2 linked regions of the Anolis sagrei genome follow. The protein of the gene in region 1 purifies or fractionates together with the protein of each later gene. This does not show direct contact. Links are inferred from orthologs where the notes say so. Each region holds a gene or a part of one and is shown on either strand. Other genes may lie near its edges.

What was found. The genes of interacting proteins can lie anywhere in the genome.
Region 2: the proteins of CDCA5 (region 1) and PDS5B purify together in Homo sapiens (affinity purification with western blotting; 4 studies listed by BioGRID and IntAct, with this or other methods). This does not show direct contact. The link is inferred for Anolis sagrei from reciprocal best matches to the Homo sapiens genes CDCA5 and PDS5B.

What each region holds. Positions count from the first base shown.
Region 1 is NC_090032.1:22,245,054-22,255,502, forward strand, and holds the start of CDCA5 (sororin), read right to left. Parts: upstream 4,181-10,449; 5' UTR 4,131-4,180; coding exon 4,070-4,130; intron 3,234-4,069; coding exon 3,115-3,233; intron 1,776-3,114; coding exon 1,704-1,775; intron 1,541-1,703; coding exon 1,502-1,540; intron 1-1,501. Other genes in the region: ZFPL1 (zinc finger protein-like 1), read left to right, coding at 5,708-5,809, 6,847-6,958, 8,633-8,826, 10,040-10,115, 10,286-10,449. UniProt on the Homo sapiens protein: Regulator of sister chromatid cohesion in mitosis stabilizing cohesin complex association with chromatin. May antagonize the action of WAPL which stimulates cohesin dissociation from chromatin.
Region 2 is NC_090023.1:33,551,584-33,562,163, reverse strand, and holds the start of PDS5B (sister chromatid cohesion protein PDS5 homolog B), read right to left. Parts: upstream 5,006-10,580; 5' UTR 4,891-5,005; intron 1-4,890. UniProt on the Homo sapiens protein: Regulator of sister chromatid cohesion in mitosis which may stabilize cohesin complex association with chromatin. May couple sister chromatid cohesion during mitosis to DNA replication.

The DNA of each region.
Region 1 (10,449 bases):
AACGCATTCTCATAGAAATAATAGATACATAGATGCTTTGAGTCTCCTTGTCGAATATACATAATATACATAATAATATACATAATAATAATAATAATAATAATAATAATAATAATAATGATGATGCATTCTCATAGAAATAATAGATACATAGACGCTTTGAGTCTCCTTGTGGAATATACATAATAATAATAATAATAATAATAATAATAATAACGCATTCTCATAGAAATAATAGATACAGAGACACTTTGTATCTCCTTGTGGAGTATATAATAATAATAATAACAATTACAATAATAATAATAATGCATCCTCATACAAATAATAGATACATAGACGCTTTGAGTCTCCTTGTGGAATATACATAATAATAATAATAATAATAATAATAATGATGCATTCTCATAGAAATAATAGATACATAGACTGAGTCTCCTTGTGGAATATACATAATAATAATAATAATAATAATAATAATAACGCATTCTCATAGAAATAATAGATACAGAGACACTTTGTATCTCCTTGTGGAGTATATAATAATAATAATAACAATTACAATAATAATAATAATAATGCATCCTCATACAAATAATAGATACATAGACGCTATGAGTCTCCTTGTGGAATATACATAATAATAATAATAATAATAATAATAATGCATTCTCATACAAATAATAGATACAGAGACACTTTGTATCTCCTTGTGGAGTATATAATAATAATAATAACAATTACAATAATAATAATAATAATGCATCCTCATACAAATAATAGATAGACGCTTTGAGTCTCCTTGTGGAATATATAATGATGATGATGATGATGATGATAATAATAATAATAATAATAATGCATTCTCATACAAATAATAAATACATAGACACTTTGAGTCTCCTTGTGGAATAGACATAATAATAAAAATAATTACAACAATAACAATAATGATGCATTCTCATACAAATAATAGATACATAGACACTTTGAATCTCCTTGTGGAGTATACATAAACATAACAACAACAAATTTTCCTAGTTTCCAACAGACCTCACAAACTCTGAGGATACCTGCCATAGATGTGGGTGAAACGTCAGGAGAGAATGCTTCTGGAACATGGCCAGACAGCCCAGAAAACCCACAACAACCCTATTATTATTATTACTACTATTACTATTATTATTATTATTATTATTATTATTATTGGTATATAGTGTACATAGTGGGTTTGACTATAAATAAACATAATATTTATTATACCAATAGTAATATAATAATAATAATAATAATACATTGTAATGCTGATAATAGATGCATAGCTGCTTTGAGTCTCATTTGTGGAGAGAAAAAGCAGGGGATAAATAAATAAATATCATAATAATATCTAATACTAAAAATAACACATGGTTGCTTTGAGTCTCTTACGTGGAGAGAAAAAGCAAGGTAGAAATAAACATTAATAGCAATAATAATACTAATTCTGATAATAATGACTGACCCTTGGGCTCCGTCGGGGCGTGATGGCCGTCTCTTTGACCTGGAGCAAAAAAAGAAAGGCCAAAATGAGACAGACAGATAGAGCGATAGATAGATATAGATAATTGACAGGTGGAGATGATAGATAGGACAGATTGACAGGTAGAGATAATAGATAAAGATGATAGGAATTGATAAAGCCAAATTGATAAAGCCTGACTGACCTGCCGGTTCGATCGCGGCACAATCTTCCTCAGAGTGATGATGGGCTTCTTCGCCTGGAGCGGTGCAGGCGGCTGCCGGGAAATTGCAAAAACTCCAAAGTGAGCTGCTATGTATTCTGGATAATGAAACAATATCTCTATCTATCTATCTATCTATGTCCTAGAGGGTTGGACTGGATGGCCTTTGGGGGTCCCTTCCAACTAGGATTTTATCTATCTACCTTTCAGTTTCTCCACCTATCAATCCATGTCTTGCACATGCGGTCCGCTCATTGTTATTTTATTTTATTGTGTATTATTTTGCTTTATTGCTTTTTTTTAAACTCATACGTTGTATATATTTTATTGTGTTTTGGTTTTATTTTATTGTAATATGCTGTTGGGCTTGGCCTCATGTAAGCCGCCCCGAGTCCCCATTGGGGAGATGGTGGTGGGGTATTAAATAAAGATTATTATTATGTCTATCTATCTAATCTATATTATCTCTATCCATTTATTATTATTATTATTATTATTATTATGTCTATCTAATCTATACCATATCTATCCATCCAATGAATCTCTATCTATATTATTATTATTATGTCTATCTATCTAATCTATATCTTATCTATCCATCCAATGAATCTCTATCTTATTATTATTATATTATTATTATTATTTCTGTCTATCTATCTCATCTATATTATATTTATCCATCCAATGAATCTCTACCTACCTTATTATTATTATTATGTCTGTCTATATAATCTATATCTTATCTATCCATCCAATGAATCTCTATTATTATTATTATTATTATTATTATTATTATTATTATTATTATTATGTCTATCTAATCTATACCATATCTATCCATCCAATGAATCTCTACCATTATTATTATTATGTCTATCTATCTAATCTATATCATATCTATCCATCCAATGAATCTCTAGCTTATTATTATTATTATTATTATTATGTCTATCTAATCTATACCATATCTATCCATCCAATGTATCTCTATCTTATTATTATTATTATATTATTATTATTATTATTATGTCTGTCCATCTATCTAATCTATATCATATTCATCCATCCAATGAATCTCTATCTATCTATCTATCTATCTATCTATCTATGTATCTATTTATCTATTTCTTAGATAGCCTTTGGGGTCCCTTCCCACACTAGGAATCAATCAATCAATCCATGTATGTATGTATGTATGTATGTATCTACCTATTTCTTAGAGGGTTGGACTGGATGGCCCTTGGGTGCCCCTTCCAACTTTAGAATCCTATATCTATCTATGTATATCTCTCTTAGAAGCCTCCCCAAAACTCTAGGATGTCTATCTTAGATGGTTGGACTGGATGGGGGTCCCTTCCAGCTTGAAGATTCCACAGGTATTTACATTACGCACCGAACCGACGTCTGCCCCGCCGGGCCGCAAACATGCCTTCCTTTCGGATAAAGACAGAGCCGCCGTGGAAGCCGCTGCCGTGCGTTCGGACCTTCGCCTTGGAGGAGAGGAAACGACGCCTGAAACAAAAAGGAAGAGGGTTAAGACTAGACAGCAGGGGAACTCCAGGCTGGAAAATGGGACCCCCCCCTCCACCCTCCAAGGCAGGAAGCAGCCAGGCTTTGAAGCTGCAAGGCCATTTAGTGCTAATCAAGCTGGCCAACGACAACATTCACACTTGCCTCCAGCACACAAGAGTTCTTTCTCCCACCCTGGGTATCATTCCACAGGTATAAATATATCTAGGATTCCCTCAGGCAGGAAGCAGCCAGGCTTTGAAGCTGCAAGTCCATTCGATGTTAATCAAGCTGGCCAATGACAATATTCAGACTTGCCTCCAGCAGCCAAGAGTTCTTTCTCCCACCATGGACATCATTCCACAGGTATAAACCTATCTATGATTCCCTCATGGCAGGAAGCAGCCAGGCTTTGAAGCTGCAAGGCCATTCAGTGCTCATCAAGCTGGCCAACGACAACATTCAGACTTGCCTCCAGCAGACAAGAGTTCTTTCTCCTACCCTGGACATCATTCCACAGGTATAAATATATCTAGGATGTCCCTCAGGCAGGAAGCAGCCAGGCTTTGAAGCTGCAAGGCCATTTGGTGCTCATCAGGGTGGCCAACAACCACAACCTTCTGAGATGTGGGAGAAATGTCAGGACGGAGTGCTGCTGGAGTAGCCATGGATCAACTTGGGCCTTGTCTCCAGGTGTTTTGGACTACAAATCTCACAATTCCTCACAGCCTCAGGCCCTTTCAGGGCCTGAGACTGTGAGGAATTGTGGGATTTGTAGTCCAAAACACCTGGAGACAAGGCCCAAGTGGATAATACTGTTTCCCAGGCTTGCGGCCTACCTGCCCGGGCCTCTCCTGCGGAGCGAGCCCGCCTTGGCAGGCCGCGGCCTCCTCCCGCCATCGCCTCCTGCTTTCCTTCCTTCCTTCCTTCTCTCTTCCGGCTTTGAAATCGCCCGCCACCTCCACGCAGGAAGTGACGTCACCACAGTGGAAGAGAAGGAAAACAATAGTCAGAGCCGGCGCCATTTTAGGAGAGGCAAACCAAATCCCGCGAGAAATCTCAGCATCCCGCGAGAGTTGGCCGTCGCTTCCCTTTTAATACAAAAAACACCCGACGCCATTTTAGGAGAGGCAAACCAAATCCCGCGAGAAGTCTCCACATCCCGCGAGAGTTGGTCGTCGCTTCTCTTTTAATACAAAAAAAACACCCGGCGCCATTTTTGGAGAGGCAAACCAAATCCCGCGAGAAGTCTCCACATCCCGCGAGAGTTGGATGTCGCTTCTCTTTTAATACAAAAAACACCCGGCGCCATTTTAGGAGAGGCAAACCAAATCCCGTGAGAAGTCTAACCATCCCGCGAGAGTTGGATGTCGCTTCTCTTTTCCCATTTAAGCTACTAATACACAAACTACCCGGCGCCATTTTAGGAGAGGCAAACCAAATCCCGCGAGAAGTCCCCACATCCCGCGAGAGTTGGGTTGGTTGTCGCTTCTTTTTTCCCATTCAGCTACTAATGCACAAACCACCCGACGCCATTTTAAGAGAGGCAAACCAAATCCCGCGAGAAGTCTCAACATCCCGCGAGAGTTGGTTGTCGCTTCTCTTTTCCCATTCAGCTACTAATACACAAACCACCCGGCGCCATTTTAGGAGAGGCAGACTGAATCCCGCGGGAGGTCTCGACATCTCGCGAGACTAGACCTCCTTAGTTTCCTTTTTTCCTGAAGCGACGGCTGGGTTGTGACGCCATCGGCGCGCGACTTTCCCGGAAGAGACGTGGCAGAAGGCGGAAGGAGGCTGAAGAGGAAGGTGAGGAGGGGGAGGCCTGGGAAAATAAGACACACCGGGGAGTTAATGCGGGTTGATACCGCTTTAAATGCCAATAGTCCCTTGATGTGGAATCATGGCAGTGGCTCATCAGAGAGTATTAGTATATTATTGTTGTTAATATGTATATATAATATATAATATATATTAATGTATATATTATTGATGTTACTCCTATATAGATCTGCTGAACTTGCTGACCAAAAGGTCAGTGGTTCAAATCCGGGTAGTGTGGTGAGCTCCTGCTGTTAGCCCCAGCTTCTGCCAACCTAGCAGTTTGAAAACATGCAAATGCGAGTAGAACAGTAGGTTCCGCTCCGGCAGGAAGGTAACAGCAGTCCATACAGTCATGCCAGTGGCCACATGACTTTGATAGTATGTACGGACAACACCGGCTCTTTGGCTTAAATTCACACGTGCATATTATTATTATTATATGAATAATTATAGCTATTACCCCTTATGGCTCAATAGCTAAAAATATTATTATATTAAAATGCAAATATTAAAATGTATTCCTACAAAATGCACATATCAAAATACACAGAACACTGACGGATGTGTGTGTGTATGTATATATATGTATGTATGTATATATATATATAGATATAATTGATTCCTTTTTTCTTTCTCCTGCTGCAGGCTCTGCCATGGGGCTGTGCAAATGCCCCAAGCGGAAGGTGACCAACCTCTTCTGCTTCGAGCACCGCGTCAACGTCTGCGAGCACTGCATTGTCGCCAATCACAACAAGGTAAAGTTGCTGTTGTTGCTGCTGCTGAGTGCACCAAGGGGAATGCCTCTAATAACACTGTTCTACAAATTTTCAGTTTTTCTTAGTTAAGGAAACGAAATGTGCCGTTTCTTAATTAATTTAACATGCTGAATTCAAATATAATAATTAAATGTGTTCATTGGCTCTGGTTTTTATGCAACAGCTATTTCAATTTTCTCCTCAATAGGTAATTCGTTAATATTATGATACTGCGCCTAACCTTACTGCATGTATATAAAACGTGAATGTTTACTAAATTTTAGTCCAATTATATTGCCAATAGTTTATACATGAGAAATATTTATTTAATTAGTCTATTGTTTATGTTTGTGCAGCAAGGAACTCTATTAGTAGGCCTAATGCAGTTGAAAAGTCTGAAAGTTGAAATGTCGCTTTAATCGTGACTTTAGTTTCTATCCTGTTTGCTTCTCTTGACTTTTCTTTTGTAGTCAAGGAGAGGATTCCCTCTTGCAATGCTCCAGCAGGAGTCTGACAGCATTGACGGAGTCCATTGGCCTTGATGTCTTTTTTCCATAGGGCTTTATTTACACACATGCGAGGCATAACGACAGTGAAAAGAACAATGGAAAACGATGTTTAACAATACTGTCTCAGTCTTCAACTGACTGACCCTCACTGTTCAAAAGTCTGGCCTTATAGAGGGCTTTCTGGCTTTTGCACACGGCACTCATACTGTGTCATCAAACTTTCTAGAGTATTCTAGAATCTTCCATAGTGTAAGTCGCAACATGCATTTTTTCAACCATACGTGGTCACGTGATTGCTTATTTCATAAAAACTAGAGCCAATATACATTTTTAAATGTCATTTTTGTTTTCAGCACCCCAAAATCATATAAGAACAACTATTTTCAGGCCCAAAACTTTTTCTCTGTTGAACAGTGTAATAGAGGCTTATGATTATATGATGATGATGATGATGATGATGATGATAATTATAATTATTATTATTATTATAATGGTGCTTTTCTTTTTCCTCCCTCCCTTGCGTTGCAGTGCATTGTCCAGTCTTACTTGCAGTGGCTCCAGGATAGCGACTACAACCCCAACTGTCGGCTCTGCAACACCCTTCTCTCCACCAAAGAGACCGTCCGCCTCGTCTGCTATGGTCAGCTCTTGCGTTTCGTGCCACTGTGCTTGAGCTAGGTCCGGTCCGGGGGGGGGGGGGTCACCCCAAAGGTCCGGGTGTCATCAGTTGGGAGCCTCCCCCCTCCAGAACCAAAGAGAGGGGCCATCTTGACTCCTGCACTGTGCTTATAATATAATATAATGTTGATAATATTATAATGCAATACAATATAGTACTACTACTAATAATATATTATAATTATATATTTTATATTAAATGGAATATTCTTAATAATATTACACTATATTGTTATAGTATTCTATCTATATAAATAAAAATGCAATGTTTGTTTGTGGGAAAATAATATATTGTTTATACTTATAATATTGATAATATTATAATGTAATACAATATAGTACTACTACTACTAATAATATGATATTATGATTATATATTTTATATTGAATGTAATATTACTAATAATATTACAGTATATTGTTATAGTACAATCTATATAAATAAAAATGCAGTGTTCGTTTGTGGGATTGACATAACTCAAAAACCACTGGATGAATGGACACAAAATTTGGACACTATATCCCTAAGAGACCAACGAGTGACCATCAGTCAGTGGAAAAGGACTTTAAAACCCCAAAAAACTAAATGACAGTACAGAAAAAAGGGAAGAGGGAGGGAAGGAAGGAGAGAAAGAAAGAAGAGAAAGAGGGAGGGAAAGAAAGAAGGAAAGAGAGAAGGAAAGAAGGAAAGATGTAGAGAAGGAAGGAGGGAAAGAAAGAAAAAAAGGAAGGAAAGAGAGAGAGCGAAGGAAGGAGGGAAAGAAGAGAAAGCGGGAGAGAAGGAAAGAAAGAGAGAAGGAAGGATGAAAGCAAAGAGCGAAGGAGGGAAGGAAAGAGACAGAAGGAAGAAAGGAGAGAAAGGGGAAGGAAAGAAAGCTAGAAAAGGAAGGAAAGAAAAAAAGAAGAGAAAGAGGGAGGGAAAGAAAGGAAAGAGAGAAGGAAAGCAGGAAAGAGGTAGAGAAGGAAGGAGGGAAAGAAAAAAAAGGAAGGAAAGAGGGAGTGAAGGAAGGAGAAAAAGAAAGGGAAAAAAAGGAAGGAAAGAGGGAGCCAAGGAAGGAGGGAAAAAAGAAGAGAAAGCAGGAGAGAAGGAAAGAAAGAGAAGGAAGGATGAAAGCAAAGAGCGAAGGAAGGAAGGAAAGAGGGAACGAAGGAAGAAAGGAGAGAAAGGGGAAGGATAAGAAAAGGGGGAAGGAAAGAAAGCTAGAAAAGGAAGGAAGGAGAGAAAGGAAGGAAGGAACGAGGGAGCGAAGGAAGGAGGGAAAGAAGGCGAGAAAGCTGGAGAGAAAGAAAGAGAAGGAAGGATGGAAGCAAAAAGCAAAGGAAGGAAAGAGGTAGAGAAGGAAGGAAGGAGAGAAGGAAAGGAAAGGAGAAGAAGGAAGAAAGGAGGGAGCGAAGGAAGGAGAGAAAGAGGGAGGGAAGATTGGCCACAGCAAAGTGTGGCGGGTACAGCTCGTGTAATATATAATATTAATATTGTGCTCTGGTAATAATATAAAACATTGTATTTACTTTTCCCTTGTAAGCCGCTCTGAGTCCCCTTTGGGGTGAGGAGGGCGAGCTGGGCCGCCTTTCCGTGGGTCCATGTCCTTTGGCTCTTTCCTCACGGGGGTCCCTCTTCTTCCTCTCCCTCCTGCAGACCTCTTCCACTGGTCGTGCCTGAACGAGATGGTGGCCCACCTGCCGAAGAACACGGCCCCGGCCGGCTTCCAGTGCCCCGGTTGCCAGGGACCCCTCTTCCCGCCCGCCAACCTGGTCAGCCCCGTGGCCGCAGCCCTGACCCACAAGCTGGCCTCCGTCAACTGGGCCCGCCCCGGCCTGGGACTCCCCCTGGTGAGAGCAGGAACAGAACTAGCACTATCAATATCTATTATGGTTGCTTATTTATGTATTCATTACTAGTGTTAGAATGCATTATTATTACTATTATTACTATTATTATTATTATTATTATTATGTTTATGTATACGCTTTTCTCTCCACAAGGAGACTCCAAAGTATTTATACACCTATTATGATGATGATGATGATGATGATGATGATGTGTATTTATGTATTTATTACTAGTATTAGAATACGTTATTATTTTTATGTTTATGTATACTCTGCTTTTCTCCACAAGGAGACTCAAAAGTGTTTATCCACTTATTATTATTATGTTTATTATGTTTATTTATGTATTTATTACTAGTATTAGAATACATTATTATTACGTTTATTTATACTCCGCTTTTCTCTCCACAAGGAGACTCAAAAGTGTTTATGCACCTTTTATTATTATTATTATGTTTATGTTTATGTTTATTTATATCCTGCTTTTTCTCTTCACAAGGAGACTCAAAGTGGCTATGTATTGATTATTCATATTAGAATGTATTTTTATGTGTGTTTATGTATTTATTTTTAGTATTCAAATGCATTATTATTATTATGTTTATGTATACTCCGCTTTTCTCTCCACAAGGAGACTCAAAAGTGTTTATGCACCTATTATTATTATTATTATTATCTTTATTTATGTATTTATTACAAGTATTAGAATACATTATTATTATGTTTATTTATACTCCGCTTTTCTCTTCACAAGGAAACTCAAAAGTGTTTATGCACTATTATTATTATTATTATTATTATTATTATATCCTACTTTTTCTCTCCACAAGGAGACTAAAAAGTGTTTAAGCAACTATTATTTGTATTAGAATGTATTATTATTATTATTATTATTATTATTTGAAACACAACAACATTAGTACACAGCAAACAAGATCACTATGCTGGGTGATGATGATGATGATGATGATTATTATTATTATATGCGTATTCCATTTCCACAAGGAGATTCAAAACTGCTATGTATCTATTATTAGTATTAGATTATTATTATTATTATTATTATTATTATTATTATTATTATTATTATTATTATTATTATGTATACCCTGCTTTTTCTCTCCACAAGGAGACTCAAAGTGGTTATCTATCTATTATTAGTACTAAAATGTATTATTATTATTACTATTATTATTATTATTATTCCATTCAGATTGATGAGATTGAGGCGGTTCTAGAGGCGGACCCTCACAACGCGACGGACTACACCGACTGGTCCAGTTTCACCAGTGAGTGGGGCCCCGATCGGAGTGAGAAACAGGTGGTGGGATCGAGGCGGCCGACTCTTGAACTTTGAGGGGCGGCTTTTTGTGTCTCTCCTTTGGGAAAGCGGCCCCGGGGTCCTTTCACTTGACACAGCTCAATGGGAAGGAGCCAACACTCTGCTCTTCTCCTTCAGCCCTGAGCTCCGAGGAGGCGGCCCACCAGAGTGCCTCTCCTGCGCTCGGTCCTCCTCCTCCTCCGCAAGCCTCACAAAACCTCAGCAATGGCGCCCTGATGCAGGAACCGCACACCGTCATCAGCATGAAGGACCTCAACGCTGATCCGGTCACCATCAACGCA
Region 2 (10,580 bases), on another chromosome or scaffold:
TGCTATTAAATTATGGAAGTTTTATTTTTGTGAGACATCTGCACTCATTGGAAGCAAAGGCTACAGACATTGTAAAGTACAACTCCCATGATTCCATAGCACTGAGCCATGGAAATTAAGGCAGTGTCAAACTGCATTCCTTCACAGTGTAGACGTACCCCTGATCTGTATATTAAAACCAGCACAGTTTGGATGTATTATATTGGAGACGGATTAACAAGATCAACACTGCAGAAAGGCATTAGAGCAGTCAAATGAAGATTTTGAGGGTGCATGCAGCATGGTAGAATCAATGCTGTTTGATGCCAATTTAGCTGTCTTGGCTCCATGCAATGGAGTTACAGTTGCTATCATAAATGGGGTGATTTTGTGCTATTATGTTTGTATCTATCGTTGCACTGAGGCATTTAATGTTTGTCTTTATTGTTTGTTGGAATCCGCTCTGAGTCCCCTCGGGGAGATAAGGCGGAATATAAATAAAGTTTATTATTATTATTAGAGTTTGATGAGGCAGCAGCACTTTAGTGCAGAGAAAACTAAAGCTGCAGTTCCCTAATTCTGCAGCAACCAATAAAGTGTCACCACTGTATTGATTTTACAATGCAGATGCATTCATTTTAGTGTAGATCAGGTATGGGCAAACTTCAGCCCTCTGGGTGTTTTGGACTTCAAATCCCACAACCTGTTAGTAATTGTGGGAGTTAGGCTGTTAGGAATTGTGGGAGTTGAAGTCCAAAACACCTGGAGGGCTGAAGTTTGCAAATACCTGGTGTAGATCTATACTAAAACCAGTGCAGTTTGGATCTGCTATATTGGAAACAGTGAGCGAAACATATACACACAGGCAGAGAACGTCCTCAGAGATTGAAGGAATATTTTAGACAGGTAAGAATCAGAATTGTTTGGCACCTCTTTAACTGCTATAGCCCAATGCTAGGGAATCCTGGGAGTTGTAGTTTGGCATGTCACCAGCCCCCTTTGGCAGAAAAGGCTAAAGACCTTCCCATAATTCCATAGAACTGACCCATGGAAGCTAAAGGGGGTGTCAAACTGGATTAACTTTACAATGTAGATGCATTGATTTCTCAGGATAGAATACATATTAAAACCAGCACATCTATTGGAGATGGGTAGTGAGACATAGACACATCTTACGACAGGCACGTTAAGAGTGTATAATGCAGGCATGGACCAACCTGGGACCTCCAGGTGTTTTGGACTCCAACTCCCACCATTCGTAACAGCCTCAGGCTCCTTCTTTTCCCCCTCAGGCGCTTAAGGGCCTGAGGCTTGTAGGAATAGTGGGAATTAAAGTCCAAGGCACCTGGAGGACTGAAGTTTGCTTATACCTGGTATAGATCTATACTAAAACCAGTGCAGTTTGGATCTGCTATATTGGAAACAGTGAGCGAGACATATACACACAGGCAAAGAACTGCCTCAGAGGTTGGAGGAAGGCACATCTTAGGACAGGTAAGAATTAGAATTGTTTGACACCTCTTTAACTGCCATTGCCCATTGCTAGGAAATCTTGGGAGTTATAAGTTGGCATGGCACTAGCCCCCTTTGGCACAAAAGGCTAAAGACCTTTGCATAATTCCGTAGAACTGACCCATGGAAGCTAAAGTGAGTGTCAAACTGGATTAACTTTACAATGTAGATGCATCGATTTCTCGGGTTAGAATACATACTAAAACCAGCACACCTATAGGAGATGGCTAGCGAGACATTGACACATTTTAGGACAGGCAAGTTAAGAGTGTATAATGCAGGCATGGACCAACTTGGGACCTCCAGGTGCTTTGGACTCCAATTCCCACCATTCCTAATAACCTCAGGCTACTCCTTTTTCCCGCTCAGCCGATTAAGGGGCCTGAGGCTGTTAGGAATGGTGGGAATTAAAGTCCAAAATACCTGGAGGGCTGAAGTTTGCTCATACCTGATGTAGATCTATACAAAAACCAGCTGAGTTTGGATCTGCTATATAGGAAACAGTGAGCGAGACATATACACACAGGCAAAGAACTGCCTCAGAGATTGGAGAAAGGCACATCTTAGGACAGGTAAGAATTAGAATTGTTTGACACCTCTTTAACTGCCATGGCCCATTGCTAGGAAATCTTGGGAGTTATAGGTTGGGATGGCACTAGCCCCCTTTGGCAGAAGAGGCTAAAGACCTTCCCATAATTCTATAGAATTGACCCATGGAAGCTAAAGGGGCTGTCAAACTGGATTAACTTTACAATATAGATGCATCGATTTCCCAGGGTAGGATCTATACTAAAACCAACAGAGTTTGGATCTGCTATATTGGAAACCTTGAGTGAGACATATACACACAGGCAGGGAACATCTTTGGAGATTGGAGGAAGAAACATTTTAGGACAGGTAAGAATTAGAATTGTTTGGCACCTCTTTCACTGCCATGGGCCAATGCTAGGGAATCCTGAGAATTGTAGTTTGGCATGGCACCAGCCCCCTTTGGCACAAAAGTCTAAAGACCTTCCCATAATTCCATAGAACTGACCCATGGAAGCTAAAGAGGGTGTCAAACTGGATTAACTTTACAATGTAGATGCATTGATTTCCCAGGGTAGGATCTACACTAAAACCAACAGAGTTTGGATCTGCTATACTGGAAACCATGAGCAAGACATATACACACAGGCAAAGAACTGCCTCAGAGATTGGAGGAAGGCACATCTTAGGACAGGTAAGAATCAGAATTGTTTGACACCTCTTCAACTGCCATAGCCCAATGCTAGGGAATCCTGGGAGTTGCAGTTTGGCATGGCACCAGCCCACTTTGGCAGAAAAGGCTAAAGACCTTCCCATAATTCCATAGAACTGACCCATGGAAGCTAAAGAAGGTGTCAAACTGGATTAACTTTACAATGTAGATGCATCGATTCCCCGGGGTAGAATACATACTAAAACCAGCACACCTATTGGAGATGGCTAGTGAGACATAGACACATCTTAGGACAGGCACTTTAAGAGTGTATAATGCAGGCATGGACCAACTTGGAACCTCTATAATTCTACAGAACTGGCCCATGGAAGCTAAAGGAGGTGTCAAACTGAATTAACTTTACAATGTAGATGCATCAATTTCCCAGGATAGAATACATACTAAAAGCAACACACCTATAGGAGATGGCTAGCGAGACATTGACACATTTTAGGATAGGCAAGTTGAAAGTGTATAATGCAGGCATGGGCCAACTTGGGACCACCAGGTGTTTTGGACTCCAACTCCCACCATTCCTAACAGGCTCCTTCTCCCCCTTTCCCCCAGCCGCTTAAGGGGCCTGAGGCTGTTAGGGATGGTGGGAATTGAAGTCCAAAACACTTGGAGGGCCCAAGTTGACCCATGCCTGCTGTAGATTTATACTAAAACCAGCACAGTTTAGATCTGTTTATATTGGAGATGGCTAGCGAGACATTGACACATCTTAGGACAGGCAAGTTAAAAGTGTATAATGCAGGCATGGGCCAACTTGGGACCACCAGGTGTTTTGGACTCCAACTCCCACCATTCCTAACAGGTTCCTTCTCCCCCTTTCCCCCAGCCGCTTAAGGGGCCTGAGGCTGTTAAGGATGGTGGGAATTGAAGTCCAAAACACTTGGAGGGCCCAAGTTGACCCATGCCTGCTGTAGATTTATAGTAAAACCAGCACAGTTTGGATCTGTTTATATTGGAGATGGCTAGCGAGACATTGGCACATCTTAGGACAGGCAAGTTAAAAGTGTATAATGCAGGCATGGACCAACTTGGGACCACCAGGTGTTTTGGACTCCAACTCCCACCATTCCTAACAGGCTCCTTCTCCCCCTTTCACCCAGCCGCTTAAGGGGCCTGAGGCTGTCAGGAATGGTGGGAATTGAGTCCAAAACACCTGGAATGGAGGGCCCAAGTTGGCCCATGCCTTCTGTAGATTTATACTAAAACCAGCAGAGTTTGGATCTGTTTATATTGGAGATGGCTAGCAAGGCACTGACACATCTTAGGACAGGCAAGTTAAAGGTGTATAATGCAGGTATGGGCCAACTTGGGACCACCAGGTGTTTTGGACTCCAACTCCCACCATTCCTAACAGGCTCTCCCCCCTCCCTCAGCCAATTAAGGGTCCTGAGGTTGTTAGGAATGGTGGGAACTGAAGTCCAAAACACCTGGAGGGCCCAAGTTGGCCCATGCCTGCTGTAGATTTATACTAAAACCAGCACAGTTTGGGTCTGTTTATATTGGAGACGGCTAGCGAGACACAGACACACAGACAAGGAACTTCCTCGGAGAATGGAGAAAGTAGGAGGCATTTGGAAGCCCCTTCCTCGCTAGAAGGACGACTAGGCCGAAGAGGAGAAAGCAAAGCTCAGAAGAAGAGTCTTGGAAGTGGGGAGAAAAGGTGGGAAAGTATCCTAGTGCCACATTGGAGGGGCCATCTACACCGAGCATGGAACGCAGTTTCAAACCGGTACAGAAGAAAGTGCAGGCGATTGACAAGAGGACATCCATAGGAACCCATTTGCGGCCCTCGGGGAGGCGCACGTTGAGGGCGTCCTTTTGCGCGCTTTTGTGGGCATTCCCCCCTCGGTTTCGACCCGCATTGAATGCTGAGTGCAGACGGGGGCCCTGAGGGAAGCGGGAGAAAGGTCTAGATTGGGCTGAACGGGGCGGGGAGGCGGAAAGAGGCCCAGAAAAGCCCGCAAGCCAGGCAGGCAGGAAAAGGGCGGCAAGTTCAATATGCGAGGAACGGCTGAGGCGAAGGAAGGAAAGAAGGAAGGAAGGATGGCGGCGTGAGGCGGGGAAGGAGACGGAGAAGAGGCGCCAAACAGGCTCCTCGTCGGGAGCCCGAGGCGGCGAAAAAAGGGCCTTTTTCTGTCCCTTACCTGGAAAGCCGTGGCGGTGGGGCTGGAGCCGAGACAAGGCAGAGCCTCCTCTCTCGCCCTCGCTCTCTCTCTCTCGCCCGCCGCGCTCGGACACCACAGCCGTCGCTCGCGCCCGCCGCAGCCAATCAGCGCCCGCCGTGGGCCCCCTCCCTCCCTCCCCTTCCGCAACTCCCCCTCCCACCTCCCCTTCGGCGGCTTCAAAATGGCGCCAACTCGTCTCTTTCCGAGGGACCCCGCCGCTGAGCGGAGAGGCCGGCGCCAAAGTGAGGCAGCAGCGGCCCCTGCAGGTTGGGAGAGGAAGCGCAGGGCGAAAGCTCAACCAGGCATGGGCAAACTTCGGCCCTCCGATCCCCCTGCAGGTTGGAAGAGGAAGCACATTGCGAAAGCCCTTGGAATGGGGCTTATTTATTTCTCATGTCAGGGCAGCCAGTCAATTATGTTACATTTCTGACAGAACAAAGCAAACAAACAGAGAAAATACAAAATGTGTGAGTTTGGTAGTTGATTAAATGCCCTTTGACCAGTATCAAGGTGCTGGCGTTAGCCTATAAAGCCTTAAACGGTTCTGGCCCTACTTACCTCTCCGAACGCATCTCCACCTATGAACCGACCAGGACATTAAGATCGTCCAGGGAGGCCCTGCTCTCGGTCCCGCCTGCGTCACAGGCACGGTTGGCGGGGACGAGAGACAGGGCCTTCTCGGTGGTGGCCCCTCGGCTATGGAATGCCTTACCTGTAGACATCAGACAGGCCCCTTCGCTGCTGGCGTTCCGGAGGAAGGTTAAGACCTGGCTCTACGAACAAGTGTTTGGCTAAGCAGTGCAACTGAACACAGGAAGACAGTAAAATTGAACATAGGAAATGGTACAAGGATTATGAGAACGGATTCTGATTTGTTAATGAGGCGTTATGATATGATGTTGATTGTTTGATTTTGTCTGCTGTATATGATGTGTTTTAATCGCTTTATTGTTGTGATAACCCGTATTGTATAAACCGCATTGAGTCGCCTAATTAGGCTGAAAAATGCGGTATAGAAATAAAGCAAATAAATAATAAATAAATATCTGCCCACTTGGAGTGCTTCTGGTGTTGCTGCAAGAAGGTCCTCCATTGTTCATGTGGCAGGGCTCAGGTTGCATTGCAGCAGGTGGTCAGTGGTTTGCTCCTCTCCGCACTCGCATGTCAAGGATTCCACTTTGTAGCCCCATTTCTGAAGGTTGGCTCTGCATCTCGTGGTGCCAGAACGCAGTCTGTTCAGCGCCTTCCAAGTCGCCCAGTCCTCTGTGTGCCCAGGGGGGAGTTTCTCATTTGGTATCAGCCATTGGTTGAGGTTCTGGGTTTAAGCCTGCCACTTTTGGACTCTCGCTTGCTGAGGTGTTCCAGCGAGTGTCTCTGTAGATCTTAGAAAACTATGTCTGGATTTAAGTCGTTGACGTGCTGGCTGATACCCAAACAAGGGATGAGCTGGAGATGTCTCTGCCTTGGTACTTTCACTATTGGCTGCCACTTCCCAGCGGATGTCAGGTGGTGCGATACTGGCTAGACAGTGTAATTTCTCCAGTGGTGTAGGGAGCAGACACCCCATGATAATGCGGCATGTCTCATTAAGAGCCACATCCACTGTTTTAGTGTGGTGAGATGTGTTCCACACTGGGCATGCATACTCAGCAGCAGGGTAGCACAGCGCAAGGACAGATGTCTTCACTAAACCAGCATTTCTCAGCTTGGGGGGAGGGGGGGAACATGACAGAAGCCTTCTCGCAGGATTGCAAGACATCCGGGCATCCCCTGGGCAACGTCCTCGTAGACAGCTGATTCTCTCACTCCAGAAGCGACCAGAAGCGACTTGCAGCATGCAAACAAGCAAGCAAATTTTATTTTTTATTTATTTCGAGTACTTCAACCCCCCCCTCAACCCCCTAGGGGGGACTCAGGGCGGCTTACAACCAGCACAATTCGATGCCAACAATTCAACATAGCAGCAGTAATCACAAATAGTTAAAAACAATCAATTAATACAATAACAACTAAAAGTAAAGCCAATCTAGTGGCTAACATTCACTGAGTTCTAAAAATCCGTAAGTCCATTCAGCATTATCATAGTCCTTTCCAAACTCTGGTCGTCATTACCTTCTCAGTCTGTCGGATTACCCAAAGGCCTGGTCCCATATCCATGTTTTCAACTTCCTTCTGAAGGAAAGAGGGGATGTTGATGACCTAATTTCCCCGGGGAGTGAATTCCACAGGCGAGGGGCCACCACTGAGAAGGCTCTGTCCCTCTTCCCCACCAGCCTCAATTGTGATAAAGGTGGGGCCGAGAGCAGGGCCTCCCCAGAAGATCTTAAGCTCCGAGGTGGGACATAGAAGCAAACAAGCAAGCAAAACAACCAACGGACCTTTTCAGGACCAACCATAACAATAATCTCAATCAACATGTCAGCTGCCAAAGAACAACTGCTCTATAAACTGTGCCAAGATAAGAAATGTGATGTGCTGTGTGTCCAAGAAACACACAGGAATTAACAACAGAAATGACCAAAAGTTCCAGGAATGGTCTTAGTAGCAGAAAGACCACATGCGCAGTATAGAAGCGCTGTCTTTATAAAACCAGGCCTCCAAGTCAGCAGTGCCCACAATACTGAAGAAAACAATGTCGAGGTTATAACAGTAAAGTTTAATAACATCACCTCTGTGTACAACCCCCCAAATGAAGAGTTCTGCTTCTCCTCCCCCAAGAACTTTGACAGGCACCAAAGGGCGGTAGTAATTGGTGACTTTAACAGCCATAGTCATGTATGGGGCTATGCTCAAGAGGACAGAAATGGAGAGGCTGTCCTGTCCTGGTCTGAACTGCACAAACTATCACTCATCCATGATAGCAAGCTCCCACCATCCTACAACAGCAGGAGATGGCACCGAGGTTATAACCCAGACCTCTTATTTGTAAGCGACAGCTTTGAAAGGCAGCAGATCACAGGAGCTGTCTTTATAGACCTGTCAGTGGCTTATGATACTGTAAACCACCGCCTCCTCCTGAGAAAAATGTATAATATCACAAAGGACTACCATCTCACCCGCTTCATAGGAAACCTGCTACAAAACAGGAGCTTTTTTGTTGAGTTCCAGGGCCAGAGAAGCAGATGGTGGAAACAGAAGAACGGCCTGCCTCAGGGAAGAGTGCTTGCTCCATCCATGTTCAACATCTACACAAATGACCAGCCACTGCCAGAAGGGACAGAGAGTTTAATCTATGCAGATGATTGTGCCATTACCGCTCAAGCAGGGAGCTTTGAGATGGTTGAACAGAAGCTCTCCAAAGCTCTAGATCAGGCATGGGGAACCTTCGGCCCTCCAGGTGTGGTGGACTTCAACTCCCACAATTCCTTGAGGCCAAGGTAAGCCTTTGGGGCGAATGCCGAGCCTCAAGGAATTGTGGGAGTTGAAGTCCACCACACCTGGAGGGCCGAAGGTTCCTGACCCCTGCTCTAGATGCTCTTACTGCCTATTACAGGGAAAACCAGTTGATCCCTAACCCATCTAAAACACAGACATGTGCTTTTCATCTCAAGAACAGACAGGCATCCCGAGCTCTGAGGAAGAACAGACTGCTGAACAGACTGCGCTCTGGCACCACGAGATGCAGAGCCAACCTCAAGAAATGGGGCTACAAAGTGGAATCCACCACATGCGAGTGTGGAGAAGAGCAAACCACAGACCACCTGCTGCAATGCAACCTGAGCCCCGCCACACTAGGCATGCATACTCAGCAGCAGAGTAGCACAGCGCAAGAGCAGATGTCTTCACTGTATCTGGTTGTGATCCCCAGGTTGTGCCAGTCAGCCATTCAATGATGCCATTCATCCATCTTGCCCTTGGTCAGCCTCTCTTCCTTTTTCCTTCAATTTTCCCCAGCATAATTGTCTTCTCTAAGCTTTCCTGTCTCCTCGTGATATGGCCAAAGTACTTCAACTTTGTCCTGCATATCAGATATTAAATTACGACTCATAACAGTCCACATCAGCTCTAGTTAAACATATACCACCCAATAGTCGCCATCTGCTCACCCACAGAAAACCATATTTAGTAATCGAGAGTTATGGACCTTATTTTAGGTCTTGCGGCCCACAGGTTTGGAATCAAGCATGGGCAAACTTTGGCCCTCTGACCCTGCAGGTTGGGAGAGGAAGCGCAGGGTAAAAGCCCTTGGAATAGGGCTAAACCAGGCATGGGCAAACTTCTGTCTTCTGGGTGTTTTGGACTGCAACTCTCACAATTCCTAACAGCCTACCGGCAGTTAGGAATTGTGGCAGTTGCTGTCCAAAACACTCAGAGGGCTGAAGTTTGCCCATGGATGGTAAAGTTCATCAAACTCGCAAGACATGAGTTTGACCAATGTAATCTACACTATAGAATTAAGAAAGTTTATTTATTTATTTACATTTATATCCCGCTCTTCTCACCCGAAGCGGACTCGGCGTCTTACATAATTGGCATTATTCCATCCCCAAACAACAACAAGAATTTAAAGCAAGTAACACTTTAAAACAACTTTAAAACAATATATGTAAACATTAGATGACTATTGTGCATAGATTCAAAGCCAGCTAATCAAACAATCATATTCATCAATCCAGGGTCAATTCCCACCATGAACATTCCACAGAAATATAAATCTCACTTGCCTAGTTTCCAACAGACATCTCAACCTCAGAGGATGCCTGCCATAGATGTGGGCAAAACATCAGGAGAGAATGCTTCTAGAATGTGGTCATACAGCCTGGAAAACTCACAGTAAACCAGTCAGAGGTTTATTACAATTTGGTCAGAAAGGATTGAAGTACATGCAATTTGCTTCTGAAGGAGCAAGCATAAACATACAGAGAAATGCAGGACATCTTATACAGTTCTGGTTTCCCACTCCCTCCCCTGATTGGCTGAAAAAGAGGCTGACTAGGATCCGTGCATGGATTGGCTGGGGATTCACAGCCTGCAGGAGGACATTCCCATGGTGGGAGAACAGTAGCTGGCAGTTGGTTAGTTCACAGAACCAATCAATTTCATAGGCATCCTTTGGGAGGTCCATGAGGAAACAATGGTGTAGATATGCTGATGTTTTTCTAATTAACTTAAGTGTCCAGTTCTCTGTGAGACAATGGTGCAAGACCCAAAAGACAAAGGTGTTGTTTCCAGACAATCAAGGGCTTGGCTACTGACACCAGGCCCGTAGCCAGGATTTCGTTTCGGGGGGGGGGGGGCTGAATTTTTTTCAGGGGGGTTTCGGGGGGGCTGAGTTTCGGGGGGGGGCTGAGTCTGAGTGAAAGAGGGTCTAGCCTAGCAAACCTTTTGTATCATTACCCCAATACCCCCATGCATATGGGATATATTGAGTATGGTGATCAGATCATGATATGAATAAACATAACAGTTTAAATAATTCACCAGTAAGGCCTTTTCGCGAACCACCATGAGAATTTCGGGGGGGGGGGGGGGATGAAGCCCCCGACCCCCCCCCCCCCCCCCCCGGCTACATGCCTGACTGACACTGAGAAATAAATTGATCTGCATCTCTTAAGTCTCCGTTTCCATGAGAGTGGCCGAATCTCAGCCTCAGTTTAAGTGGAAAAACATACTGAACTTATTTTGTTGGTAAAGAAAATCATCTATATATATATATATAACTAGCTGTG